3 linked regions of the Stegostoma tigrinum genome follow. The main gene of each other region encodes a partner of the protein of the gene in region 3 in a complex. Links are inferred from orthologs where the notes say so. Each region holds a gene or a part of one and is shown on either strand. Other genes may lie near its edges. The genes, in order: cwc27, dhx16 and bud13.

The links.
Region 1: bud13 (region 3) and cwc27 share a complex: the UniProt entries of both Homo sapiens proteins name them as parts of the activated spliceosome. The link is inferred for Stegostoma tigrinum from reciprocal best matches to the Homo sapiens genes BUD13 and CWC27.
Region 2: bud13 (region 3) and dhx16 share a complex: the UniProt entries of both Homo sapiens proteins name them as parts of the minor spliceosome. The link is inferred for Stegostoma tigrinum from reciprocal best matches to the Homo sapiens genes BUD13 and DHX16.

Annotation. Positions count from the first base shown.
Region 1 is NC_081354.1:118,668,504-118,676,156, forward strand, and holds the start of cwc27 (spliceosome-associated protein CWC27 homolog), read right to left. Parts: upstream 3,101-7,653; 5' UTR 2,712-3,100; coding exon 2,670-2,711; intron 2,646-2,669; coding exon of another isoform or gene 2,624-2,645; exon of another isoform or gene 2,406-2,623; intron 1-2,405. Other genes in the region: protein SREK1IP1, read left to right, coding at 2,624-2,645. UniProt on the Homo sapiens protein: As part of the spliceosome, plays a role in pre-mRNA splicing. Probable inactive PPIase with no peptidyl-prolyl cis-trans isomerase activity. As a component of the minor spliceosome, involved in the splicing of U12-type introns in pre-mRNAs.
Region 2 is NC_081387.1:14,336,001-14,342,948, forward strand, and holds the start of dhx16 (pre-mRNA-splicing factor ATP-dependent RNA helicase DHX16), read right to left. Parts: upstream 3,073-6,948; 5' UTR 2,930-3,072; intron 1,477-2,929; exon of another isoform or gene 1,456-1,476; 5' UTR 1,446-1,455; coding exon 1,248-1,445; intron 1-1,247. UniProt on the Homo sapiens protein: Required for pre-mRNA splicing as a component of the spliceosome. Contributes to pre-mRNA splicing after spliceosome formation and prior to the first transesterification reaction.
Region 3 is NC_081385.1:598,477-606,346, forward strand, and holds the start of bud13 (BUD13 homolog), read right to left. Parts: upstream 3,082-7,870; 5' UTR 2,955-3,081; coding exon 2,848-2,954; intron 2,789-2,847; exon of another isoform or gene 2,332-2,788; intron 1,855-2,331; exon of another isoform or gene 1,854-1,854; coding exon 1,748-1,853; intron 421-1,747; exon of another isoform or gene 408-420; coding exon 323-407; intron 1-322. UniProt on the Homo sapiens protein: Involved in pre-mRNA splicing as component of the activated spliceosome. As a component of the minor spliceosome, involved in the splicing of U12-type introns in pre-mRNAs.

The sequences.
Region 1 (7,653 bases), on a different chromosome or scaffold from region 3:
ACCATCATGGAATGCCCCACTATCAACATCCTGGGGGTTACCATTGACTAGAAACTCAACTGTACTCACCACATAAAGAAGAACAGGTCAGAGGCTAGGAATATGACAGCAAGTAACTTCCTTCTCCGTCATCTACATAGCACAAGTCAGGAGAGTAATGAAATATTCCCTACTTGCCTGGATGCATACAGCTCCAAAAGCACTCAGAAACTTGACACCATCCAGGACAAAGCAGCCCATTTGATTGGCACTACATCCACATGCATCCCACTGCCTCCACGTCCAACACTCAGTGGCAGTGTGCACCACCTGCAAGATGCAGTGTTGAAATTCATCAAAAAAATCCTCAGACAGCAGCGTTCAAACCCATGTGCACTTCCATCTGAAAGGCAAGGGCAGCAGATACATAGTAAAACAACCACCTTCAAAGTCCCCTGTAAGGCACTCACAATTCTGAATTTTAAATATATTGCCATTCCTTCACTGTGTCAAAATCCTGGAATTCTCTCCCTAATGGTATTGTGGGTCCACCCATAACAAGTGGACTGCAGCAGTTTAAGGCAGCAGCTCAGCACCACCTTCTCAAGGGCTACTAGGAACAGGCAATAAATGTCAGGTAGGCAGTGGATGCCTGCATCCCTCAAATGAATTTTAAAAAAAAGCTAAGCAAAGTTTTTAAATCATGTTAGATTTCTGATATGACAATAAGGCAAGGTTCTCTCTCTCTGTGACCAGACCTTCAGTTCCACAAGAAATCTTTGCACATTAGAGAGGGTTCAGTTCATTTCAAAGCACGCAACGGCTGTTAAAGACACTATACCTTGTTTTACTTTTCTTTCATGGGACATGAATATCATAAGACCATAAGACATAGGAGTGGAAGTAAGGCCATTCGGCCCATCAGGTCCACTCCGCCATTTAAATCATGGCTGATGGGCATTTCAACTCCACTTCCTGCACTCCCCCCGTAGCCCTTGATTCCTTTTGAGATCAAGAATTTGTCGATCTCTGCCTTGAAGGCATCCAACGTCCCGGCTTCCACTGCACTCTGTGGCAATGAATTCCACAAGCCCACCACTCTCTGGCTGAAGAAATGTTGTCTCATTTCAGTTTTAAATTTACCCCCTCTAATTTTAAGGCTGTGCCCACGGGTCCTAGTCTCCCTGCCTAATGGAAACAACTTCCTAGCGTCCACCCCTTCTAAACCATACATTATCTTGTAAGTTTCTATTAGGTCTCCCCTCAACCTTCTAAACTCCAATGAGTACAATCCCAGGATCCTTAGCCGTTCATCATATGTTAAACCTACCATTCCTGGGATCATCCGTGTGAATCTCCGCTGGACACGCTCCAGGGCTAGTATGTCCTTCCTGAGGTGTACTGGCCAGGCCAGTATTTATTACTCATTTCTAATTGCCCAGAGAGCTGTTGAGAATCAACCATAATAGCACAGATCTGAAGTCACTTGTTGGCCAGACTGGGAAAGGATGGCAAATTTCTTTCCCCTAAGAACTTCAGTGAACCAGATGGGTTTTTTCCCAACAATCCGAACAATGATTTCATAGTCATCATTAGATTATTAATCCCAAACTTTTACTGAATTTAAATTCCACCATCTGCTATCATGGGATTTGAGCCTGGATCTCTGGGTGAATAGTCCAGTGATAATACCACTAGGCCATCATCTCCCCTTAAAGTCAAGATGTCTCACAAATAAAGGTAGGCCTGTGAAAATCAGTTAGAATGGAGATTATCTCAGTTGTTAACACAGCGTCGTCATATGCTCTGAACTAACTCTTTATGATTACCATCCCACTCTTTCAGTCACCTCACCCCATTGTTATAATTCCACACCAGACATTAATAAACTGAGCAGTAAAATTACACTGGCATTTCAGTTGGTACTATACTGTGAGAGATATCAATTTTTGGATGAGACTTTAAACTGATACTCCTTCTAACAGATATGAAAAGTCCCACAGCACAATTTTTAAAAGAAAATCAGAGGGATTCTTGCTATCATCCTGATCATTACTTATCCCTCTAACAATATCACTAAAACAGTTAAGCTACTAAACTCACTTTTTCCTAGATGTTATCAATTCTGAAGAGGTGTCGCTGTCTTAAAACGTCAGCCCTGTTTCTCTCTTTACAGATGTTGCCAGGCTTTCGGAATTTCTCCAGCAATTTTTGTTTTTGTCAGTAGAACAGGTGATCTGGTTATTCATGATCACTTGAAACAGAAAAGCAGGCAACAATTCCTACTTTCCAACAGTGATGATACTCCAAAAGTACTTCATTGTTGAGCAAATGCTTTGGGACAAGGCGAAAGGCGCTATGTAAATGTAAGTCTTTCACAAGTGCTCAAGGAACAAAATGACACGTACAGGGGTAATTGATGTGAACGTTGTAAAACAACCACAAAAATCCAAAACAAAAATCAAGGCCAGAAGAAAATTTACTCGCTCACTTTCGGAAGGGGTGGATCTGTTTTGTTTAAACGAAAGGACATAAATTAGACGCGCGCGAATACCGGACTGTTTGAACATGGCGTTTGGAAGAAATTAGCCCCATCGATCAACGGGCTTGGTTACTGAATGAATGTACACGAATCTTCCCTCGAATGAAGACGCCAATGTATACAGGTTTGTGATAAACGTGTTATTTACCTTGCCGCTGCTCGGCGGCTCCTGGATGTAAATGTTGCTCATGGCGCCGCTTTGGAACGCGAGCCCAGTTTAAAACGCGGCGCTCGCTCGCGCTGTCTAACGTCCTCCGTTCACCGATCCCGAGAAGCCAGCCGGCCCCTCACTCACCGCACCAAAACTAAGAAAACCTAAACTCAAAAACCCTGCCTGCAGATAATCCACTTACGCAGCTCCACCGAGAGCCTTCCCCCGCCGCCAAGTCCCTGCGAAATGTCGTGTATTTTAGAATGTTCGCCTGTTATCCGCCGGGGGTTCGCGCAAAGTTCGCTCTGAAAGCAAACGGCCCATGTCATGGACGCGCAAGTACAGAAATTAACTGTAACGGAGAGTATGGATATGCTGCGTATGATTTTGAAAGTTGAAACCGAGCGTTTCTTTATGTTTTTATTTTGTTATTGAAGCTGGTGGGAAGATATTAAACGGTGCACCAGATCAGCAAGTGTGCTTGGGAACTTTCTAGAAGTAGAAACGAATGGAATTTCGCAATGGCTTTTTCAGGTGAATTATAATGATTTGATTTTTTTGCGTAGATATTGCTTTTAAATTACATTTTGGGAGTATAAAGCGGCGAACTATTTAAACTTTGGTGATAGGTCTGACTTCGGAATCGTGTTTGGAAGGTGCTGCATGTCACTGATCGCATAACAGGAAGTGAACGAGGGTCACTACACTCGAAACATTAACTCCCCCTTCTTTTCAAATGCTGCCGGATCTGTATTTCTTTCGCACTTCGTTTGTTTTTGCTTTAGACTTCTAGTATTCGCAGTTCTTTGCATATCTCAATGATATTCAGGTCAACTATCAAGAAATATATGGCGAGTCATCCAACTTCTTTTCCAAGACCAATTCCCCCTCCCTCCATGGATAAGATTTCCTTAACCATGTTTGCAGCGAAGCATCATAGCATCTCCAGTCAACCTTGAGAACCCCCAAAGGCAACTCCCTCCTGACTGTAAGATAACAAAGTGTGGAGCTGGATGAACACAGCAGGCCAAGCGGCATCTCAGGAGCACAAAAGCTGACGTTTCGGGCCTAGACCCTTCATCAGAGAGGGGGATGGGGAGAGGGAACTGGAACAAATAGGGAGAGAGGGGGAGGCGGACCGAAGATGGAGAAAAGAAGCTAGGTAGATTACAAGAGAGTTGCAGTGGGAGAGAGATTCCCTGAGGTTGATCCGGAGGGAGGAGGGTAACTTCTTCAGGTTAGGCATCCCTGGAAGAGGCTTTGCAGTGAGGTTAAAATTGTATGGTGGAGCTGTATGAACGCAGCAGGCCAAGCAGCATCTCCAGCGGATGCTGCTTGGCCTGCTGTGTTCATCCAGCTCCACACTTTGTTATCGTGGATTCTCCAGCATCTGCAGTTCCCATTATCCCTCCTCACTGTATACCGCTGCATCGCCACCTCTCATGGGTCTGTTGTTTTAGCGTGACGGCACACTGCTAGGGATAGTGATTGTGGTGATTGGGACTTTATTTGTCTTGTGTAATCATATCTTACAGACAGTGTCACTCTGGATTGGTTGATTTGGTCTGAAGGTCAGCACAAATTTTAAGATATTGGTTGTGTCATCAAGGCTGTGTGTGCCATGATAACAAGGTGTGGAGCTGGATGAACACTGCAGGCCAAGCAGCATCTTAGGAGCAGGACAGTTGTTTCTAGTGCCTTTGTTGATCCCAGGTGGGTCTGTCTGGTTCTATTCCTTTCATAGAACATAGAACAGTACTGCACAGTACAGGCCCTTTGGCCCACGATATTGTGCTGCCCTATTATCCTCCTGCGATCAATTTACCCTGCATACCTTACATTTCATTATCCTCCATGTGCCTATCCAAGAGTGGCTTAAAAGTCTCTAAAGTATTTGATTCCATTACCACTGCTGGAAACGCATTCTATACGCTCACCACTCTGTGTGAAGAACCTACCTCTGACATCTCCACTATACCTTCCTCCGGTCACCTTACAATTATGCCCCCTCATAATAGTCATTTCCACCCTGGGGGAAAAAAATCTGACTATCCTCTCTATCTATGCTTTTCATCATCTTGTACATCTCTATCAAGTCACTGCTCATCTTTCTTTGCTCCAGTGAAAAAAGCCCTAGCTCCCTCAACCTTTCCTCATAAGACCTGTCCTCCACCCCGGGCAGCATCCTGGTAAATCTCCTATGCACCCTTTCTAAATTTTCCACATCTTTCCTCTAATGAGGTGACCAGGTCTAACCAAAGTTTTGTAGAGCTGCAACATAACCACACAGCTCTTAAACTGAATTCCCCTGCCAATGAAAGCCAACACACCATATGCCTGCTTTACAACCCTATCAACTTAAGTCCATAAGATCATAAGACATAGGAGTGGAAGTAAGGCCATTCAGCCCATCAAGTCCACTCTGCCATTTAAATCATGGCTGATGGGCATTTCAACACCACTTCCCTGCACTCCCCCCGTAGCTCTTGATTCCTTTTGAGATCAAGAATTTGTCGATCTCTGCCTTGAAGGCATCCAACGTTCCGGCCTCCACTGCACTCTGCGGCAATGAACTTGTGTAGCAACTTTGAGGGATCTATGGACGTGAACCCTAAGATCCCTTTGTTCCTCCACGCTGCCGGGAACCCTGCCATCAATCTGTATTCTGCATTCAAATTCAATTTTCCAAAATAAATCACTTTTCACTTTTCTGGGTTGAGTTCCATCTGCCACTTCATTGCCCAGCTCTGCATCCTGTCACTGTCCCGTTGCAACCTACAATGGCCTTCCACCCTGTCCACAACTCCACCAACCTTTGTGTCATCGGCAAACTTACTAACCCTTCCTCCCGCTTCTTCACCCAAGTTGCTTATAAAGATCAGAAAGAACAGAGGTCCTAGAACAGATTCCTGCGGAACAACACTGGTCACCGAGCTCCAGGTTAAATACTCTCCATCAATACCACCCTCTGTCTTCTGTTGGAGAGCTAGTTTTGTATCCAGACAGCCAAATTTCCCTGAATCCCATGCCTCCTTACTTTCTGAATGAGCCGACCATATGGAACCTTATCAAATGTCTTGCTATAAAATCCATATGCACCACATCCACTGCTGTACCTTCATTGATGTCTTTTGTCACATTGTCAAAGAATTCAATAAGACTTGTGAGGCATGACCTGCCCCTCACAAAGCCATGCTGACCAATTCAAATCAAACTATGCTTTTCCAAATTACCATAAATATTATCTCTCAGAATCCTTTCCAATAATTTGCCCACCACAGAAGAAAGACTGACAGGTCTGTAATTTCCAGGATTATCCCTATTCCCTTTCTTGAACAAAGGAATGACAACCTCCAATCTTCTGGTACTATACAGTGGACAGTGAGGACGCAAAGATCATTGCCATTGGGGCAGCTATCTCCTCCCTCACTTTCTGTAGGAATCTTGGCTATATCCTGTCTGGCCTAGGGGACTTATCTGTCCTCATGTTTTTCACAATTTTTAGCATATCCTCCCTCCTAACATCAACCTGTTCAAGCATATCTGCCTGTTTCATGCTGTCCTCGCAAGCATGAAGTTCCCTCTCAGTGGTCAATACTGAAGTAAAGTATTTATTAAGGACCTCCCCGACCTCCTCTGACTCCGTGCACAAGTTCCCTCTGCTATCCCTGATTGGCCCTACCCTCACTCTAGCCATCTTGTTCCTCACGTAAGTATAGAAGCCTTGGGATTTTCCTTGATCCTACCCACTGACGATTTCTCATACCCCCTCCTAGCTGTCCTAAGTCCATTCTTCAGTTCCTTCCTGGCTACCTTGTAGACCTCTAAAGCCCTATCCGATCCTTGCTTCCTCAACTTTAAGTAAGCTTCCTTCTTCCTGTTTCATCAGACGTTGTAACAGTTAGATATTGAGCAGCTTGCTGGGACATTTCAGAGCGCATTGAGAGTTAGCATTGGTGTGGAAATGAAGTTGCATTTCGAATAAACAAGGTAAGAACTGCAGATTCCCTGTCGCTTAAGGGAGTCAGTAAACCAGATGGGTTTAATGAAAATTGGCAATGGTTCCATGGTCACCATTAAACCAGCTTTTAATTCCAGATTCATTAACTAAATTCAAATTTCATCATCTGATAGGCTTGAAGTCTATGTCCCTCAGATCTGGAACTATAAGAAATAGGAACAGGAACAGGCTGTTCAGTCCAGTGAGCCTTCTCTACCATTTAATGGGACTGTGGTTAATCCAACACTCCTAACACCCTGTCTTTTCCCTATAACCCTTGGTTTCCCCTACTGATCAAGAATCTGTTGTGGGAAAATCTGGCTACTTATTAAGAAATCTCACAGACAATCAAGTACTGAAAAAACAGTTCAAACTTTATTGTAAATATTAGACCCCTCGGGTAAGTAAGTTTTAGGCCTGTGACCCAATTAGTGGTGAAATCAGGCCAGGACATCAACCAATTGTGATCTGTCTCTGGAAGTTTCCAGGTTTCTGTCCTTCTGCGGTGTTGTTCTTCAGAGTTCTGCTGTTGAGTTTTTCACATTCGATTCTTGTACAGATTTTCATCCTTTATGTGGATAATGCTTTGAGAGTCTTTCAAGCGAGTTAGTGTAAGACTGCAGCTGGCTTCGTTATCAAAAGTAATTTCTTTGTTTCTTGTTACATTTGGCAATGACTGTCGGTTCAAAGACAGCTTTCTGGTGATTAACTCCTTAAATTCTTGAACAGGGCAAACCTTGTCCCTTATGCCAGTAAAGCATCCAATTATCAAGCAGGTGTCAAAGCAGCTTTGTTTATGGAATCTTGCTAATTCTTTGAGTCTGTGTTACAGCTTGTCTTTGTTCCTTATCAGTTTATTTCAAACAGAGTTATTTTTGTGTGTAATAGTTTATCTTTTCTTGATTCATTCAGTCGATGATCAATCATTAAGAGTTCTGTAATCTTTACTTAAATAGTCCCTCCTGTCTTTATTATTTTTAA
Region 2 (6,948 bases), on a different chromosome or scaffold from region 3:
CTGTTACAGGGCCAATGGGCCGAGGAGTGGCAGATGGAGTTTAATTTTGATAAATGTGAGGTGCATTTTGCATAAGACCAACTAGGGCAGGACTTACAGTTAACGGCTGGGCTCTGGTGAGTGCTGTAGAACAGAGAGAGACTTCGGGGATGCAGGTACATAGTTCCTTGAAAGTTGGCTCACGGGTAGACAGGGTGGTGAAGGTGGTAATTGGCACGCTTGCCTTCATCAGTCAGAGCAGTGACTGCAGGAACGGGCAGGTCATGTTGTGGCTGTAAGAGATATTGGCAAGGCCACTGCATGCAATTCTAGTCACCCTGCTGTAGGATGGGTGCTATTAAACTTGAAATAGTGCAGAAAACCGGAAGGTTTGAGTTATAAAGAGAGGCTGGATAGGTTGGGGCTATTTTCCCTGGAGCGTGGAGGCTGATTGGTGACCTTACAGAAGTTGTTAAAATCATAAGGGCCACAGATAGGGTGAATAGGCAAGGTCTTTTTCCCAGGGTAGGGGTGCGCAAAACTAGAGGGCATACGTTTAAGGTGAGAGGGGAAAGATTTAAAAGAGACCCAAGGTGCATTCTCTTTTATCCAGAGGATGGTGTGTGTACAGAATGAACCGCCACAGGATGTGGTAGAAGTCAGTACATTTACAATTTAAAGGACATTTGGGCAGTACATGGATCAGAAGGGTTTACAGGGATATGAGCCAAATGCAGGAAAATGGGACTGGCTTAGTTTGGTTTGGGAAACCTGGTCAGAATGGATGAGTTGGGCCTATTTGCATGATGTATGACTCTATGACTCTTGGTTAAGAACCCTGGAACTCTGTCCATGACAGCACGGTGGCTGTTCCTATGTCATACGGATTGCAGTGGTTCAAGGATGTGGCCTAGCATAAGCTTCAGGAAATTAGGGATGGGTAGCAAGTGCTGATCTAAGCCTTGGGTGACATCCACGTTCCATAAATTAATGCTGAAAATTTCAGCTCAGCAATGAATTGATAAAACAGAACACATGATCCTGCAAAAGGCACTGTTCACCAAACACTGACCGAGGGAGGGGGTGCAGCCTAGGAGCACAGCAAGGTGCGAAGGATGACAAGCCTAACCGGGGGGGGCCCAGCGGCCTGCAACTCCCATCACCCTGCACATGCCACAACCTAGTCTTGAACTCCAACCAGCCTGTCCAGTCACAGTATCTGCTACTCGCCAGCACCATCCTCCCACCGTGCCCCACACAGCACCCACCTTCGCCCAGAGCTCATCTGCAAAGCGTCGGACTCCCTGTGTGATGTCAATGGTTCCCGTCTCCTCCAGGCGCCGGATGAAGTTTGCCACGCTCTCGCTGCGCTGGGCAGTGCCAATCAGGAACTGTGCCACATACTTATCACTCAGCCCCAGCAGCTGGTGAAGCTGGTCATTCACCCACTTCTCCAGCGAGGTCATGGTGGTATCTCTGCAAACAGCGAGCGGTACGCTTTTTCAAAAATAACACAAAAATCCCGTCAGGAATTGGGGAGGGCCAAATCAGTGGGCAAACGGATAGGGCGAGTACAGTTGGAGCAGACCCTGGGGTTTGAGTGATGTCTCTGGGCTACTTTGGACGCGGGGTTAACAGAAATCTGCCTAATGTAGACCAGGAGTAATTGGGGAGCCCTATTAATGGCAGTTTGGATGACTGGGGAGCCCAGTTAATGGGGAACCTTGGGTAGATGAGAAGCTCGTTAATGGAGATGAGGGGTTAATGGAGATGAGGGGTCAATGGAGACCCGGGTAAAGTGTGAACCTGGTTAATCGGGACTCGGGGTAAAAGGGCGACAATGTTAATGGGGACCAGGGGTGAAGGGGGCTGTGTCATGGGGACCGGGGGGGACCGGGGGGGGGGGGGGGGGGGGGGGGGCGGGACCGGGGGGGGGGGGCGGGACCGGGGGGGGGGCGGGACCGGGGGGCGCACCGGGGAACCCGGGGGGGGGGAGGACACCGGGGGACCCGGGGGGACACACCGGGGGACGGGGGGGGGGACGACGGGGGACGGGGGACGACGGGGGACGGGGGGGGGGACACCGGGGGAGGGGGACGGGGGGGGGGGGGGGAGGGGGACGGGGGGACGGGGGACGGGACGGGGGGGGGGGGGGGACGGGGGGGGGGGGGGGGGACGGGGGGGGGGGACGGGGGACGGGGGGGACGGGGGGGACGGGGGACGGGGGGGGGGACACCGGGGGACGGGGGGGGGGGGGGACACCGGGGGACGGGGGGGGGGGGGGGGACACCGGGGGACGGGGGGGGGGGGGGGGACACCGGGGGACGGGGGGGGGGGGGGACACCGGGGGACGGGGGGGGGGGGGGGGACACCGGGGGACGGGGGGGGGGGGGGACGGGGGACGGGGACACCGGGGGACGGGGGGGGGACACCGGGGGACGGGGGGGGGGCACCGGGGGGGGGGGGGACACCGGGGGGGGGGGGGGGACACGGGGGGGGGGGGGGGGGGCACCGGGGGGGGGGGGGGACACCGGGGGGGGGGGGGGGACACGGGGGGGGGGGGGGGGACACCGGGGGGGGGGGGGGGGACACCGGGGGGACGGGGGGACACCGGGGGGGGGGGGACACCGGGGGGGGGGGGGAGACACCGGGGGACCGGGGGGGGGGGGCACCGGGGGACCGGGGGGGGGGGCACCGGGGACCGGGGGGGGGGGGACACCGGGGGACCGGGGGGGGGTGGGGGGGGGGACCGGGTGGGGGGGGACCACCGGGGGGGGGGGACACCGGGGGGGGGGGGACACCGGGGGGGCCTGTTTCATGGGGACCGGGGGGGGGGGGGGGGCTTGTTTCATGGGGACCTTCGATAATGGAGACCCAAAACTAACGAGGTTCAGAGTAAATTTGCTTGTTTCAGTTTGCGACCAGATGCACAATCCCAAGCCGCACTCACCTTCTCAGAACAACAGGCTCCACCCGGACCAACCAGGCCCTTGCCCCGACGGCCCAACCAGGACCTGATCCTGACAACAGCCCGCACACACCCCTCAGTCTCCTGCTCCCGGCCACTGCGAGCGCGGTGAGGCAGAGCGTCACAAACTCCAGTCACAGCGCCGCCTCTGTCCGGGAGGGGACTCGGGGGAGACTCCGGTCACAGCGCCGCCTCTGTCCGGGAGGGTACTCGGGGGAGACTCCGGTCGCAGCGCCGCCTCTGTCCGGGAGGGGACACTCCGGTCACAGCGCCGCCTCTGACCGGGATGGGACTCGGGGGAGACACGCGTCACAGCGCTGCTTCTGTCCGGGAGGGGACTCGGGAGAGACTCCAGCTATAGCGCCGCCTCTGTCCGGGAGGGGACTCGGGGGAGACTCCGGTCGCAGCGCCGCCTCTGTCCGGGAGGGGACTCGGGGGAGACTCCGGTCGCAGCGCCGCCTCTGTCCGGGAGGGGACTCGGTGGAGACTCCGGTCACAGCGCTGCCTCTGTCCGGGAGGGGACTCGGGGGAGACGTCCGTCACAGCGCCGCCTCTGTCCGGGAGGGGAAAGCCATGGGAGACTCCACTCACAGCGCCGCCTACGTATAGAAATATACACAACGGGTCGGAAATGACCATCTCCAACAAGATGGAATCCTCATATCGCTTAATGTGGGGCTGGATGAACACAGCGGGCCCAGCAGCATCTCAGGAGCACAAAAGCTGACGTTTCGGGCCTAGACCCTTCATCAGAGAGGGGGATGGGGAGAGGGAACTAGAATAAATAGGGAGAGAGGGGGAGGCGGACCGAAGATGGAGAGTAAAGAAGATAGGTGGAGAGAGTATAGGTGGGGAGGTGGGGAGGGGATAGGTCAGTCCAGGGAAGACGGACAGGTCAAGGAGGTGGGATGAGGTTAGTAGGTAGCTGGGGGTGTGGCTTGGGGTGGGAGGAAGGGATGGGTGAGAGGAAGAACCGGTTAGGGAGGCAGAGACAGGTTGGACTGGTTTTGGGATGCAGTGGGTGGGGGGGAAGAGCTGGGCTGGTTGTGTGGTGCAGTGGGGGGAGGGGACGAACTGGGCTGGTTTAGGGATGCAGTAGGGGAAGGGGAGATTTTGAAACTGGTGAAGTCCACATTGACACCATTGGGCTGCAGGGTTCCCAAGCGGAATATGAGTTGCTGTTCCTGTAACCTTCGGGTGGCATCATTGTGGCAGTGCAGGAGGCCCATGATGGACATGTCATCTAAAGAATGGGAGGGGGAGTGGAAATGGTTTACGACTGGGAGGTGCAGTTGTTTATTGCGAACTGTGCGGAGGTGTTCTGCAAAGCGGTCCCCAAGCCTCCGCTTGGTTTCCCCAATGTAGAGGAAGCTACACTGGGTACAGTGGATGCAGTATACCACATTGGCAGATGTGCAGGTGAACCTCTGCTTAATATGGAAAGTCATCTTGGGGCCTGGGATGGGGGTGAGGGAGGAGGTTTGGGAGCAAGTGTAGCATTTCCTGCGGTTGTAGGGCAAGGTGCCGGGTGTGGTGGGGTTGGAGGGGAGTGTGGAGCGGACAAGGGAGTCGCGGAGACAGTGGTCTCTCTGGAAAGCAGACAAGGCTGGGGATGAAAAAATGTCTTGGGTGCTGGGGTCGGATTGGGGAAACCAAGTGGAGGCTTGGGGACTGCTTTGCAGAACACCTCCGCTCGGTTCGCAATAAACAACTGCACCTCCCAGTCGCAAACCATTTCCACTCCCCCTCCCATTCCTCAGACGACATGTCCATCCTGGGCCTCCTGCAGTGCCACAATGATGCCACCCGAAGGTTGCAGGAACAGCAACTCATATTCGGCTCGGGAACCCTGCAGCCCAATGGTATCAATGTGGAATTCACAAGCTTCAAAATCTCCCTTTCCCCCACTGCATCCCAAAACCACCCCAGCTCATCCCCGCCTCCCTAACCTCTGTCCTTCCTCTCACCTATCTCCTCCTCCCACCTCAAGCTGCACCTCCATTTCCCACCTACCAACCTCATCCCACCTCCTTGACCTGTCCGTCTTCCCTGGACTGACCTATCCCCTCCCTACCTCCCCACCTACATTCTCCTCTCCACCTATCTTCTTTTCTCTCCATCTTCGGTCCGCCTCCCCCTCTCTCCCTATTTATTCCAGAACCCTCTCCTCATCCCCCTCTCTGATGAAGGGCCTAGGCCCGAAACGTCAGCTTTTGTGCTCCTGAGGTGCTGTGTTCATCCAACTTCACACTTTGTTATCTTGGATTGTCCCAGCATCTGCAGTTCCCCATTATCTCAGAATGAATCCTCATATCGCTTTGACATTTCAATAGCATCACCATCATTGATTCACTGTTAACATCCTAGGGGTTACCACTGAGCAGGAACTGTATTATTGGACTAGCAGGGTAAATAGTGTGTGTCCAAAAGCAGATCGGAGGCTTGGAATATTTGCAACTTCACAAATATCTTGGATGAAATAATTCACATGTGTATCCGTGTCTGTGTATGTGCAAGAGCGTGTGTGTGTGTGAGAGAAAAGGAGCCTGTGTGTGTGTGTGAGAGAGAAAAGGAGTCTGTGTGTGTGTGTGAGAGAGAAAAGGAGTCTGTGTGTGTGAGAGAGAAAAGGAGTGTGTGTGTGTGTGAGAGAAAAGGAGTGTGTGTGTGTGAGAGAGAAAAGGAGTCTGTGTGTGAGAGAGAAAAGGAGTCTGTGAGTGAGAGAGAAAATGAGTGTGTGTGTGAGAGAGAAAAGGAGTCTGTGTGTGTGTATGAGAGAAAAGGAGTCTGTGTGTGTGTGAGAGAGAAAAGGAGCCTGTGTGTGTGTGAGAGAGAAAAGGAGTCTGTGTGTGTGAGAGAGAAAAAGAGTGCGTGTGTGTGAGAGAGAAAAGGAGTGTGTGTGTGTGAGAGAGAAAAGGAGTCTGTGTGTGTGAGAGAGAGAAAAGGAGTGTGTGTGTGTGTGAGAGAGAAAAGGAGTCTGTGTGTGAGAGAAATGGAGTCTGTATGTGTGTGAGAGAGAAAAGGAGTGTGTGTGTGTGAGAGAGAAAAGGAGTCTGTGTGTGTGAGAGAAAAGGAGTCTGTGTGTGTGTGAGAGAGAAAAGGAGTCTGTGTGTGTGTGAGAGAGAAAAGGAGTCTGTGTGTGTGAGAGAGAAAAGGAGTGTGTGTGTGTGAGAGAAAAGGAGTCTGTGTGTGAGAGAGAAAAGGAGTCTGTGAGTGAGAGAGAAAAGGAGTGTGTGTGTGTGAGAGAGAAAAGGAGTCTGTGTGTGTGTGAGAGAAAAGGAGTCTGTGAGTGAGAGAGAAAAGGAGTGTGTGTGTATGAGAGAAAAGGAGTCTGTGTGTGTGTGTGAGAGAGAAAAGGAGTGTGTGTGTGTGTGAGAGAGAGAAAAGGAGTCTGTGTATGTGTGTGAGAGAAAAGGAGTCTGTGTCTGTCTGTGAGAGAGAAAAGGAGTCTGTGTGTGTGTGAGAGAGAAAAGGAGTGTGTGTGTGTGTGAGAGAGAAAAGGAGTCTGTGTGTGTGTGAGAGAGAAAAGGAGTCTGTGTGTGTGAGAGAGAAAAGGAGTGTGTGTGTGTGTGTGAGAGAGAAAAGCAGTCTGTGTGTGTGAGAGAGAAAAGGAGTCTGTGAGTGAGAGAGAAAAGGAGTGTGTGTGTGAGAGAGAAAAGGAGTCTGTGTGTGTGAGAGAGAAAAAGAGTGTGTGTGTGTGAGAGAGAAAAGGAGTCTGTGTGTGTGTGAGAGAGAAAAGGAGTCTGTGTGTGTGAGAGAGGAAAGCAGTGTGTGTGTGTGAGAGAGAAAAGGAGCCTGTGTGTGTGAGAGAGAAAAGGAGTCTGTGAGTGAGAGAGAAAAGGAGTGTGTGTGTGAGAGAGAAAAGGAGTCTGTGTGTGTGAGAGAGAAAAAGAGTGTGTGTGTGTGAGAGAGAAAAGGAGTCTGTGAGTGAGAGAGAAAAGGAGTGTGTGTGTGTGAGAGAGAGAGAAAAGGAGTGTGTGTGTGAGAGAGAGAAAAGGAATGTG
Region 3 (7,870 bases):
TGTGTTAACAGCATCAAGACTGCAGCTCACTTCAGTGTCCTTATTGGGTTCCCGTTCCTAAGCACTATTCAGCAACCAGTGCTGTATTAAACCTGAACTGCCTTTTAAAGTAGCCCAGTGAGACAGTAAATATGTCAAGCCACTTCAGCAATTCAAAGGGGCAGCTCACTACCAGCTTGTCAGGGAAACTTCAGATGAACGACAATGCTAGCCCAGCCAATGATGCTTGCATCCAATTAATGTATTTATAACACAGCGGCCAACACAAATTCACTGCACAGAATGAAATGAGTCTTTTTAAAAAAGACGCCTCACGACTTACCTCCTAAAATTTTCCACTTATTGCTCAGGCGGAATTCCTCCATTTGTTGAATGATTTCAGGCCTTTCATCAATGAACTCTGCCACCTAAAGCAACAGGCTGGAGATCAACACAAAAGTATAATACAACAACAATCTGCATTTACATAGCCTTGTCATAGAGTAAAACAGCCCTAAATCATTCTCAGGAATGGTGATCAAATAAACCCTGACACAAGACATTAGGTCAATTGACCAAAAGCCTCATCATAAAAATTAGGTACGAAGTTTGGACCCAAGCAGTTTAAAGTACAGCATGATGTAGTGAATATAAACAATGATCATTTTAAATATTCACTGTCATGATTAGATTAGATTCCCTACAGTCTGGAAACAGGCCCTTTGGCCCAACAAGTCCACACAGCCCCTTGCAGCATCCCACCCAGACCCATCCCCCTATAACCCACACACCCCTGAACATTACGGGCAATTTAGCATGGCCAATCCACCTAACCTGAAAATCTTTGGACTGTGGGAGAAAACCGGAGCACCCAGAGGAAACCCACACAGACACGGGGAGAATGCGCAAACTCCATACAGACAGTCGCTCGAGGCTGGAATCGAACCCGGGTCCCTGGCGCTGTGAGGCTGCAATGCTTACACTGAGCCACCGTGCCGCCCCTCATCTATCACATTGAACTGTATATGGGCAAGTTCAGAGACTAAGGCTCCCTCTTCACTGTACCTACCAAAAAACCCCAGGATAGGTACGGAATGGAATTAGAAACAGAGTGATGCTCCCGCTACATTGTCCCTAATGAACACACTCTGGACAAAGCATTCAAACTCAGCCATAAGGTCAGTCATTTCCAAATACACAGCAAGACACTTTCCACAGCAGTCTCTCACAGAATCTTAGAGTACAGGTAGGAGGATTTATCTCCTTTTACCCGTATTGGGTGTATTAAAAACTTAGCTAATTTGTCCCACATCCTTGTTCTTTCCCTCATCATCCTGTAAAACCTTCCACTTTGAGTATTTATGAAATTCCCAATGAAAAGTTACTTTTAAATCTGTTTCCACCACCCAGTTGAAACTAGAACAACTTTCTGCACTAAAAGAAATTCTCCCATCACTTCTGACTCTTCTGCTCTCATGTGGAACTTATCGATTTGTTTATAAGCGAATGTTCAACAAGCATTAGGAAGACTGGGATTAGCTTTAGAGACTGGTCAGATGGGCTGGAAACCTTCTCTAGCTCTGAATTTTCTCCTTTCCAAATCACTTAACAACCTTCTTGTGGGGTTTTGGCAGTTCAATTAAAATGTCTTGTTGATACTGGGGTATCTTCAGCAGCAGTAACAGTAGTCACAGTGTTGAAGTCTTAATTAGTTATTTGCTGACAAATCTTAGAATCAGTCAGTCCTGAGAATAGCTATTTCACCTACCACAGGGGCTTCATCATCCTCATCCTCTGCTGCCTCTAATACAGCCTCTTTCTCCTTCTCCTTCGCAAGGGTCTTCCAGGTCACATCATCATCCACAATCCGCATTCTGTAATATAACAGGACAGAGGCTTTCAACTGACAGAACTAGACTCAACAGCATCCCTGATCTAAAACAGATACAGAGTAAAGTAACACTTCACATGATAAAAAGGGAAAGCTGACAACACCACAGATTACAAAAATGAGAGGGCATTGGAGAACTGCATCGTGGATAAGAAATTTCAATTGCACGAAGAGGCTGAGGACACTGGGGTCCTCCACTCTAAGAGTAAGGATGGTAAAGGGGTGTTTAGATAGAGCAGTAAATAACGAGAAAGCTTCTAGTGGCAAGAGATCCAGAAACCAGAGGAACACAAATTACACTAAGAGAGAAGGAACTGTATCAGAGGAGCAGGAAAGGTGATGTTTCAGGCCTAGGCCTCCCTCAGCCTCCCTGCCCCTCTGATGCTGCTTGGCTTGTTGTGTTCATCCAGCTCCACACCTTGTTAACACAAATTATAGCCATTACCACAGGTGAAACTTACTTTATAAAACAGATCGAGGTTAAACATTACAACATTGAGGAGAGAGGTGACGGGATAACTTCTTTAAAGATCCAGCACTGGGGCAATGGGCGAATGGCCTCTTTCTGTGAGGCATGTTATTAATAAACCTCAAGAAAAAGTGAACAATATTTAACTCTGTCACATAATGAACAACTGCCCATTAAAAGCAAGAAACCGTTCCCTTGTGAAAACTAACTTAAAACACGACAACGGAATTACTCCAAAGCTACAATGTAATTCTACAACGATGAGGCCACAGCAAAGTGTTGAATTATGAATTTCTCTAGCGCCTATCAGGAGCTCGGCTATAACGAGGTCCCGGGTGATCCGGTGATAATTTTACTGATAGTTTGGTGTTTGGTGCGAATGAGGTTCAGACCCGGCTCCTGCCGCCTGAGGCGTGCGGGAGGGCGGCCTCACCCGCAGGAAACCATCAGGCCTCAGGCCTTTCCACGTCGGGCTGGCCGCTTACGCTGCTCCCTGCGCGGGCCTCACCCTCCGCCTTTAATCTTCACCCTCCGCCTCCTCCTGGTCCGCTTGGGGCCCGGCTCCGAGCCGCTCAGGTACCGCTTCAGGTATTCCTCCTTACTCAGGCCGGCCATGGGATCCCCTCCCTCTCCCGGCGCTACCGGCCCGGCTCCTTCCTACCCGGACTCCGCTGGCGCTGCTTCCGCCGGCACCGAGCGGTCTTCACTCACCGGCCCCGCTCGACCGGCCCGGCCCCCGGCCCCCGGCCCCCGGCCCCCGGCGGGAAACCCGCCCGCCTCGCGCCGCCATCTTGGTGCCTCAAGCCGATGTCTCGCGGACAGGATGGTCACCCCCCCCCATCCCCCCCCACATCCAGCCCATCACCCCTCAAACCCCCACCCCCCCTCACATCCCCACCCCCCCTCACATCCCCACCCCTCACCCCCCATCCCCCCTCACATCCCCACCCCTCAAACCCCCACCCCCCCTCACATCCCCACCCCTCACCCCCCCATCCCCCCTCACAATCCCCACCCCTCACCCCTCACATCCCCACCCCTCACCCCTCACATCCCCACCCCTCACCCCCCCACCCCTCACCCCCCCATCCCCCCTCACCCCCTCACCCCCCCACCCCCCCTCACATCCCCACCCCCCCCTCACATCCCCACCCCTCACCCCCCCACCCCTCACCCCCCCATCCCCCCTCACATCCCCACCCCTCACCCCCCCATCCCCCCTCACATCCCACCCCTCACCCCTCACATCCCACCCCCACCCCTCCCACTCCCCCCCTCCCCTCACATCCCACCCCTCACCCCTCACATCCCCACCCCTCACCCTCACATCCCCACCCCTCACCCCCCCATCCCCCCTCACATCCCCACCCCTCACCCCTGCACATCCCACCCTCACCCCCCCATCCCCCCTCACATCCCACCCCTCACCCTCACATCCCACCCTCACATCCCCACCCCTCGACCCCCCATCCCCCCTCACATCCCCACCCCCCCTCACATCCCCATCCCCCCTCACCCCCCCATCCCCCCTCACCCCCCATCCCCCCTCACCCCCCATCCCCCCTCACATCCCCATCCCCCTCACATCCCCATCCCCCTCACATCCCCACCCCCCCCTCACATCCCACCCCCCCTCACATCCCCACCCCCCCTCACATCCCCACCCCTCACCCCCCATTCCCCCCTCACATCCCCACCCCTCACCCCTCACATCCCCACCCCTCACCCCTCACATCCCCACCCCTCACCCCCCATCCCCCCATCCCCCCTCACATCCCCACCCCCCTCACATCCCCACCCCCCCATCCCCCCTCACATCCCCACCCCCCCTCACATCCCCACCCCTCACCCCCCCATCCCCCCTCACCCCCCCATCCCCCCTCACCCCCCCATCCCCCCTCACATCCCCACCCCCCTCACATCCCCACCCCTCACCCCCCCATCCCCCTCAATCCCCACCCCTCACCCCCCCATCCCCCCTCACATCCCCACCCCCCCTCACATCCCCACCCCTCACCCCCCCAATCCCCCCTCACATCCCCACCCCTCACCCCTCACATCCCCACCCCTCACCCCCACATCCCCACCCCTCACCCCCCCATCCCCCCTCACATCCCCACCCCTCACATCCCCACCCCTCACATCCCCACCCCTCAGCCCCCATCCCCCCTCACATCCCCACCCCTCACCCCCCCATCCCCCCTCCCCCTCACATCCCACCCCCCCTCACATCCCCACCCCCCCTCACATCCCCACCCCTCACCCCCCCATCCCCCCTCACCCCCCCATCCCCACCCCTCACCCCCCCATCCCCCCTCACCCCCCCATCCCCACCCCTCACCCCCCCATCCCCCCTCACCCCCCCATCCCCACCCCTCACCCCCCCATCCCCCCTCACCCCCCCTCACATCCCCACCCCTGACCCCCCCATCCCCACCCCTGACCCCCCCATCCCCCCCCTCACCCCCCCATCCCCACCCCTCACCCCCCCATCCCCCCCCCTCACCCCCCCTCACATCCCCACCCCTCACCCCTCACATCCCCACCCCTCACCCCTCACATCCCCACCCCTCACCCCCCCATCCCCCCTCACATCCCCACTCACATCCCCACACCTCACCCCCCCACCCCCCCTCACATCCCCACCCCTCACCCCCCCACCCCCCCTCACATCCCCACCCCTCACCCCCCCATCCCCCCTCACATCCCCACCCCCCCTCACATCCCCACCCCCCCTCACATCCCCACCCCTCACATCCCCACCCCCCCTCACATCCCCACCCCTCACCCCCCCATCCCCCCTCACATCCCCACACCTCACCCCCCCATCCCCCCTCACATCCCCACCCCCCCTCACATCCCCACCCCTCACCCCCCCATCCCCCCTCACTTCCCCACCCCTCACCCCTCACATCCCCACCCCTCACCCCTCACATCCCCACCCCTCACCCCTCACCCCTCACCCCTCACCCCTCACATCCCCCCTCACATCCCCACCCCTCACCCCTCACATCCCCACCCCTCACCCCTCACATCCCCACCCCTCACCCCCCACATCCCCACCCCTCACCCCCCCACCCCTCACCCCCCCACCCCCCCTCACATCCCCACCCCCCCTCACATCCCCACCCCCCTCATCCCCACCCCTCACCCCCCACATCCCCACCCCTCACCCCCCCCATCCCCACCCCTCACCCCCCCCATCCCCACCCCTCACCCCCCCCATCCCCACCCCTCACCCCCCCATCCCCCCTCACATCCCCACCCCCCCTCACATCCCCACCCCCCTCACATCCCCACCCCCCCTCACATCCCCACCCCCCTCACATCCCCACCCCTCTCACATCCCCACCCCTCACCCCCCCATCCCCCCTCACATCCCCCCTCACATCCCCACCCCTCACCCCCCCATCCCCCCTCACATCCCCACCCCCCATCACATCCCCACCCCTCACCCCCCCATCCCCCCTCACATCCCCACCCCTCACCCCCCCACCCCCCCTCACATCCCCACCCCTCACCCCCCCACCCCCCCACCCCCCCTCACATCCCCACCCCCCCTCACATCCCCACCCCCCCTCGCATCCCCACCCCCCCTCGCATCCCCACCCCCCCTCGCATCCCCACCCCTCACCCCCCCCATCCCCCCTCACATCCCCACCCCTCACCCCTCACATCCCCACCCCTCACCCCTCACATCCCCACCCCTCACCCCCCCATCCCCCCTCACATCCCCACCCCCCCCTCACATCCCCATCCCCACCCCTCACCTCCCCATCCCCACCCCTCACCCCCCCACACATCCCCACCCCTCACCCCCCCATCCCCCCTCACCCCCCATCCCCCCTCACCCCCCCATCCCCCCATCCCCCCTCACCCCCCCATCCCCCCATCCCCCCTCACCCCCCCATCCCCCCTCACATCCCCACCCCCCCTCACCTCCCCATCCCCCCTCACATCCCCACCCCCCCTCACCCCCCCATCCCCCCATCCCCCCTCACATCCCCACCCCCCCTCACCCCCCCACCCCCCCTCACCCCCCCATCCCCCCATCCCCCCTCACATCCCCATCCCCCCTCACATCCCCACCCCCCCTCACATCCCCACCCCTCACCCCCCCATCCCCCCTCACATCCCCACCCCTCACCCCCTCATCCCCCCTCACATCCCCACCCCCCCTCACCCCCCCATCCCCCCTCACATCCCCACCCCCCCTCACCCCCCCATCCCCCCTCACATCCCCACCCCCCCTCACCCCCCCATCCCCCCATCCCCCCTCACATCCCCATCCCCCCTCACATCCCCACCCCCCCTCACATCCCCACCCCTCACCCCCCCTCACATCCCCACCCCTCACCCCCCCTCACATCCCCACCCCTCACCCCCCCATCCCTCACCCCCCCATCCCCCCTCACATCCCCATCCCCCCTCACATCCCCATCCCCCCTCACATCCCCATCCCTCACCCCTCACCCCTCACATCCCCACCCCTCACCCCCCCATCCCCCCCTCACATCCCCACCCCCCCTCACATCCCCACCCCTCACCCCCCCATCCCCCCTCACATCCCCACCCCCCCTCACATCCCCACCCCCCCTCACATCCCCACCCCTCACCCCCCCATCCCCCCTCACATCCCCCCTCACATCCCCACCCCTCACCCCTCACATCCCCACCCCTCACCCCCCCACCCCTCACCCCTCACCCCCCCACCCCTCACCCCTCACCCCTCACCCCCCCACCCCTCACCCCTCACCCCCCCACCCCTCACCCCTCACCCCTCACATCCCCACCCCTCACCCCTCACATCCCCACCCCTCACCCCTCACCCCTCACATCCCCACCCCTCACCCCTCACATCCCCACCCCTCACCCCTCACATCCCCACCCCTCACATCCCCACCCCTCACCCCTCACATCCCCACCCCTCACATCCCCACCCCTCACCCCTCACATCCCCACCCCTCACCCCTCACATCCCCACCCCTCACCCCCCCATCCCCCCTCACATCCCCACCCCCCCTCACATCCCCACCCCCCCTCACATCCCCACCCCTCACCCCCCATCCCCCCTCACCCCCCCTCCCCCCTCACCCCCCCTCACCCCCCCTCACATCCCCATCCCCCCCCTCACATCCCCATCCCCCCCCCTCACATCCCCACCCCTCACATCCCCACCCCTCACCCCTCACCCCTCACATCCCCACCCCTCACATCCCCACCCCTCACCCCTCACATCCCCACCCCTCACCCCTCACATCCCCACCCCTCACCCCCCCATCCCCACCCCTCACCCCCCCATCCCCCCTCACATCCCCATCCCCCCTCACATCCCCATCCCCCCTCACATCCCCACCCCTCACCCCTCACATCCCCACCCCTCACCCCCCCATCCCCCCTCACATCCCCACCCCCACCACCCCCATCCAGCCCATCACCCTGACCCCCACCCACACCCCTCAACCCCCCCTCTCCCCCACCCCTCAACCCCCCCAACCCTCCTCAACCCTCCTCTCCACCACCCCTCAACC